2 linked regions of the Callithrix jacchus genome follow. The protein of the gene in region 2 binds, or shares a complex with, the protein of the main gene of each other region. Links are inferred from orthologs where the notes say so. Each region holds a gene or a part of one and is shown on either strand. Other genes may lie near its edges.

Evidence for each region. The genes of interacting proteins can lie anywhere in the genome.
Region 1: SF3B5 (region 2) and CRNKL1 share a complex: the UniProt entries of both Homo sapiens proteins name them as parts of the minor spliceosome. The link is inferred for Callithrix jacchus from reciprocal best matches to the Homo sapiens genes SF3B5 and CRNKL1.

The regions. Positions count from the first base shown.
Region 1 is NC_133506.1:27,036,640-27,040,906, forward strand, and holds the start of CRNKL1 (crooked neck-like protein 1), read right to left. Parts: upstream 2,927-4,267; 5' UTR 2,777-2,926; coding exon 2,726-2,776; intron 1,062-2,725; coding exon 909-1,061; intron 1-908. UniProt on the Homo sapiens protein: Involved in pre-mRNA splicing process. As a component of the minor spliceosome, involved in the splicing of U12-type introns in pre-mRNAs.
Region 2 is NC_133505.1:150,851,900-150,854,490, forward strand, and holds SF3B5 (splicing factor 3B subunit 5), read right to left. Parts: upstream 1,271-2,591; 5' UTR 1,151-1,270; coding exon 890-1,150; 3' UTR 535-889; downstream 1-534. Other genes in the region: uncharacterized protein LOC118153004, read left to right, coding at 1,271-1,369. UniProt on the Homo sapiens protein: Component of the 17S U2 SnRNP complex of the spliceosome, a large ribonucleoprotein complex that removes introns from transcribed pre-mRNAs.

The DNA.
Region 1 (4,267 bases), on a different chromosome or scaffold from region 2:
AATTCTCAGAATTTCATACATAATAGCATTCGTGCTTTAAAACAGTCCCACATTCTAGAGTGAGGAGGTCAAATCAGATCCCAAGTCTTTTCTCATGGTCCTTTCTCAGATCTCAATTCCTTGTTTTTTTGTGATGAAGTCTCTCTCTGTCGCGCAGGCTGGAGTGCAGTGGTGTGATTTAATCTCACTGCAGCCTCTGCCTCGCAGGTTTCAGTGATTCTCATATCTCAGCCTCCTGAGTAGCTGGGATTACAGGCATCTGCCATCATAACTGGCTAAATTTTTTTGTAATTTTGGTAGAGATGGGGTTCTACCATGTTGACTAGGCTGGTCTCCAACTCCTGACCTCAGGTTGTCCGCTGAGGCCAGGACTTTGGCCTCACAAAGTCCTGGGATTACAGGTGTGAGCCACCATGCCTAGCCAGATCTCAATTCTTAACACAGAAGGTGGTATAGGCAGAAGTACACAACAGTGCAGTTTTACTAAGCATACCCTCTGCTGGTTCCAGTTGTTCCACCTGCTAAACTTCCACCCATGTTTGATTCAGCACCAAAAATTATGCAGATTCAATTTCTTTGTACTTTAACCAGACAATTCATAGCATATTTTGTATAGTTCAGAAAAATGCTGTTATCTGGTAACCAGAAGTACATTATTCATGTGCTATAAACACTAGCCTCATCTTGCCCTACAGAAATTCTTTTTTTTGGAGACGGAGTCTTGGTCTGTTACCAGGCTGGAGTGCAGTGGCGTGTTCTCAGCTCACTGCAACCACCACCTCCCGGGTTCAAATGATTCTCCTGCCTAAGCCTCCCAAGTAGCTGGGACTACAGGCGTGCAACACCATGCCCAGCCTACCAATACTTTCTTAACAATTAGTGGACTGAAAGATATCACACCGACTGACCTTCCTTTTCCTTAGTTTATAATCATTTAATTCTTCTTCATCTGTGATCTTTTGTTGAGGTGGAGGTGGAAGAAGCTCAAGTTCTCTTTCTTTAGCCTCTCTTAAGAGCTGTTCAGCAGTTATCTGTACCTCAGCTGGGGCTTTGTTTTTCACCTTTTAAGAAAGAAAACATTTCTATTTTTAGCAGATGCTCTTCACACGGGTTTAAGAAACCAGTTTTATGTTACATCCTTTAGGATACATTGTTTTAGGATGTGAACTTCATTAGTATTATCACAAGATACCCTCTTTGTATGACATGTTCCCATTCCTCCATGAGACAGAAAAGAAAAAAATACTATGTTTTCCTTGTTATTCATGGTGTCTACTACAAAGCCATAGGCAAAAGTCTCAACTGAAAAAGGTCGCAAAAACAATAGCGAGCTTTCTCTTTTAGATGAGTATAATAATAAACTTTGAGGCAGTCTAGGTAAAATTCTGACCAGAGGTTTTGTTTTATCAAGATGTGTACCACATCTTATTAACAGCATTACAACCTGCATTTACAGAATTCTTCAACTTAGCTAATGCCCCTGGTGGGTAATTGAGTTTGGTTTTTCATGGCACTTCAAGTCCAAGGCAAAATTCAATAACTTCCCATCATTAGACTGTAAGCTTCCTGAGGTCTTAGAAGCTTACAGTCTAATGTAGCTTAGAGCTGTGCTGCCCAGCACAGTAGCTGTGAGTCACATGTGGTTAGTACAAAATGGGGTGGACTGTAGATGTAAAATACACTCTGGTTTTGAAGATGGAGTATGAAAAAAAGAATAAACTACCTCATTACATTTTTTTATACTGATTAATATTGAAATAATATTTTGGATACATTAGGCCAAATAAAATATCTATGATTAAAACTAATATCACCTTTTTTGTTTTTTACTTTTTAATGTAGATATGAGATATGTGGCGTGCATTATATTTCCATTGGAGCAGTGATGCCCAATAAAAGTTTATGTAATTGAATTATAAAAGACTTAATGCCACGTGTGAAGTAATGATGATAATGGTGATAGCTCATATTTAATAAGCACTAAGTGCCAGACACAGTGTTACTTGCTCTATATGCATTACCTCTGCGAGTCAGATAAATGGTTATGTAAAGGTCCAGTTCAACAGAGTCATCTGGGCTCAAGAAAGACTTGAGGGAGGGTATCTGTGAAGGCTTGAGAGAAAGCCTGCCCCATGTTAAGCACTTGGTAAGTATCAGCTATCGAGGGAAACACCAGATAGTGAACCTACCCTTTAATGAACTTATGATACCATACAACTCCGTCTACTCTCGCCTTCCGCTGTCAGCTGGGCTAACTCCTATTCCGCCTTCAAGTCTCAGCTTAAAGGTCATTTCCTCTGCAAAACTTACTTTCAGGACCCCCTCATACGCCCCACTTATTCACGCCCATGGCATATTCTACTTTGCATCAGCAACATCTAGCAAGGTCGTCTTTATACACAAGCTCGTGTTTTGGGTATTGTTGTGCTTCGCGTCCGAGCGTAGCTCCCCAGCGCCCAGTGCAGTGCTTGGCGCAATAAGTCTTCACTGATCCACCCCACTCCTCCCAACTGCACAAACACCCCAGAACGAAGGCCACGCCAACGCAGGTCGCGCTCCGCTATGACAAGAGCCCACGCCCCACCACCAGCGGATCCTTCGTCTCCATCTCTCAGGGTGAGCCTTCTCCCCGGTAGGAACACTCTCTTCCGCCCGGGGCATCCCCAGGGCTAAGGCAAGCCCCTCTCCTAGGCCACCTGCCACAAGGCCCGTCGCGATCCCCTACCTTGGCCACTTTGGGAATCCGCTGTTTCCCGGCCGCAGTAGAGGCCGCCATGTCTGCAGCAGCGGACCTCGGGACACCTGGCCCCACGCACGGACGCTAGAAATCTACTCTGAGAGCTCACCGAAACCACGAATCTTTTCTGACAACAAACAAGATCCCGGAACCGGAAGCGGAACTCACTAGGATGACTTTTGACCTCTCGCATGCGCCGTGACGGAGCGGCTCCGTTTCCACGGTGACCAGGCTGCGCGTACTCCTGCAGCAGCGCGTAGAGTGCGGCGTCCTGGAGCTGCGAGTGAGGTTCGTAGCGCCGGCCTGCCTGGCAGCGACGCAGGTCCTGCGGTTCAGGGCGTCAAGGGCGCATCCCCAGGTCAGCCTCCGGAACTGGGATGACCAGGCGAGGACTAGTGGCTCTTTCGAGCCGTGGCGCCCTGCAAGGGAGTAGGAACGAAGCTCCAATCTGGGTGCTCGAGGGCGGGGAAGAAGGGAGAGCGAGAAAACTACATCCCCAGCATGCCAAGGGGCGAGCTGCCGCCCTTTAGGCTTTCTGGCGCTTCATTTCATTTTAGGGCTTGTAGTCTGTGGGGTCCACGCCCCCTCGTTTCTGGTTTCTGGATAGTTATGTCCAAATAATGAACTCTAAGGTGCCCTAATAATTGACTCTAAGGTTTGGAATTAAAAATAACGTAAGATATTTCGAAGTCAGATATTAGGAAAAAAATGAAAATACATAGAGTAACTGGAAAACAACTCAGTCTTGAGATAAGAAGCATGTTTAAATTCTGTGTGTGCCTTAATTACATTTTCTTAGCCTCAATGTCCTCAACTATAAAACAAGGATAGTAACATCTGTTTCACTAGGATTAAAGATAAGTGCTCATTAAACGTTAGCTATTATAATAACCTACCCTCAAAAACTTAAAAATTAAGCCAAGGTTAAGATAATTTTTTTTAATAGACAACTTTTAGAGAAGTTTTAGGTTCACAGCAAAATTGAGTAGAAGGTACAGAGGTTTCCCCCCTCCAACAGCTTCCTACTGTCAGTAATTGTACTTCCTTCCCCCTCCAACAGCCTCCTACTCTGAATGACATTCTCCTCCGGAGAGGTACATTTGTTACAACCATTAACCTACACTGGCACATCATTATCATTCAAAGTTTGTAGTTTATGTTAGGGTTTACTCTTGATGTTGTATATTCTATGAGTTTGGACAAATGTATAATGACATGACTTGGCAGCACATTTGTTAGGATAATTTCCACAGTTGCAAAAGGCTCTTTTTGGTGTTTGGCCAAAATATATATTTACGGATGTAGTGATACATAATGCAGATTATATATTGCAGATAATGCTTTCAAAAAAGATTTATGTAGATTTCTAAAACTACAGTCAGTTATAAACAACATCAATATATTTGCCATAACTCTATTAACCATATTATTTAGATATTTTATCTCACTTTTCAAAATTTAGAGATTTTATATCACTTTCATAAAGCCACCTAACAAAATAAATATCTGTTAAAATAAAAAGATATTTAA
Region 2 (2,591 bases):
CACCATATACATAATTCTCCCCTCCCAGCACCACCTTCTAACATTTGCTTGCTATGCCTACAGTGTTTGACCTTTCTCCACCACCAGCATTAATGTATACCCAAGAACATGGGAAAATGCCTGTCACATAGAGCTCAACAAATATTTGTTGAATGTAGAATGGATGAACTCGCTTGCCATCTTGTCATTTCTGGAGACATGGTTTCAAATTCCCAGGAAAAAGAAAGGATGTAATTTAAAGAGGCTAGGGAAAACAATGACAGCAAAGATTTTTAAAACAGAAGAAAAAGATGGGATACATTAACCGCAAACTTCAAAACTGAAGTCATTGTGAGACTGAAAATAAAGCTCTTGGAGGAAGTGGCAGTCGGGGAACACTATAAAGGTATACAGGCATATCTAAGTGCCTGGCCACAGACACTGGCATTCGCACCCTCACCCAAACCCATTTCCCACTCGGACTCTCGCGAACCTCGGTGCCTGGAGCTCTTTCCGGAGCCCTCCACCCTAACACAGGAAGTTCACACCAAGAGACTGAACGATTTCTAAACTTTATGGAAAAAGCCAATGACAATCAATTAGGCAAAAACGAGACGCCAAATCCCATCTCACTCCAGCGCCACGCCCTCTTCTCAGAGACTTGCCGGCTGCAGGACCTCTCCGCCAGCACAGTTCTCAGGGGTCCTGCTGGTCTCTCAATGCTGTCCCAAAGTGTCCACATGAAGGCGGGTCAGGAGGGACTTCCCCGGCAAGCACTTCTATACGCAGAAAGCGCGGGACGCAGGAGCCATGGAGAGAGCCGGTCCCTTGAAGGCAGGAATACTCGAGGGATTTGGCAAACGGGAGGAACGCTGGGAGAGGCGCCGCGCACGGCGTTGGTAAGGCAGTCTCAGTTCTCCTCGGGCTTGTCGGCTGGCGGTCCACAAGGCTGCAGCATCTTCTCCATCAAGTTGAAGCGGACTCGCGCTTTGCTCTCATTCTCCGCAATGGCGAAGTAGTTGAGAAGGTCGAAGTGGCCCATGTAGGAGCAGTACGAGTCGCGGTGTTGGTTCACCAGCCACTCCCACTTGGTGGTGTCGGCGTGGCCCGTGCCGATGTACTTGGACTGCAAGTGCTCCAGCTGGCTGTGGATGGTGTAGCGGTCCGTCATCTCGCCGCTTTCCCCTTCGCTCCGAGGTCAGAGGCCGCAGGAAACAAGTCACCGCTCTACCGTTTCAAGCGGGAGTGAGGACACCGCACAGCACCTCCGGGCCCACGCGGTCGCAGAAGAATGGCGTCACTGAGACTAAGTAGTGTAACTCTCGCTCATAGGGCTCAGAGGCGGAAGCGGAAGCGGAAGCACATCAGTCACGGAATTGGAGTTGCCGAGGTATGCGACGCTACAAGTGTGCCGCCCCTGTAGTGAGCCGTGCCCCTTCATAGAGCGTTGCATGATGGTCCGCTTAGTGGCTATGAGAGGCCCTTTTCAACCGGGAGCGTTGCATGCTGGGACTTGTGGTCTTGGTCTTTGGAGTTCGTGCACGCCAGCCTCCGGAACTTCTGGTCGCCTTTTAAAAGCGGTATGGGTGCCTAGTGGAGGGTGTTGTCTGCGAGGCGGGAAGCATCCGTGGTTGGCTTGGGGCTGATGGGAAATGGGAAACCCAAATAGGAGTGGACTACGAGCAACCCCGAAAATAAACTCTTATGTATTTCGGACCTATCGTGGCGGCACGGCAGTCCCTTCACTACCCGGGATGGATTACCCAGAAGTCAGTAGGCGCGAGTTCTGGTCCCAACTATGTCGCTTAGGAGTTTGTAGCATCAAAGAGTTATTTCAGCTCTAACCAGGGTGTTTGGTGAGCAAGTACAGTACCCATTTCCTCACATTCCGGCTCCACCTCAAGTTCCTCCTTCCTCTCTAGCCAGTTATTTTGATATCCTCCCTCCAATGCCTCACGGCACCCTACTTGGCCCTTCCATTCAGTGGGTTTTGTGAATTCAACCAACCCGACTGAAAATATTTGGGAAAAAAATTAGTGTGTACCGAAGTGTAGACTTTTAAAGGTTATTATACCCTAAACAATATAACAACCATTTACATAGTATTTACATTGTATTGGGTATTGTTAAATAATCTAGAGAAAAACTATACGGGAGGATGTGTGTATATGCAAATACAAGCCATTTTATATCAGGGACTTGAGTATCTTCTAGTTTTGGTATCCATGGAGTCCTGGAACCAATCACTCACAGATACTGAGGGACAACTGTACTTCTCCATGTTACCTGTTGTGCCCATTCCCCAGTTCCTTGTGCAAGCTGTTCCCTCTACTTGGAATGTCTGTTCCCTTGGTGAACGCATCTGCCTTAAAGGCAGCTCAAATGCATCTCCCTAGAATTTTCTCTGGCTGCTCCAGACAGATGTAAATTCTTCTTCCTCTTTGCAGATTATCCATCTCTTCCTTATTATTGCTTTATATCCTAATTTTTAGTTTAATAACTTCCTCATATGGATAGAGGCTACCTGAAAAAAACGAGATCCTCTTTAAAAATTATATATATATATATCCCAAACAAGAATTTGATAAATAATTGTATTACAACCGTAGAGA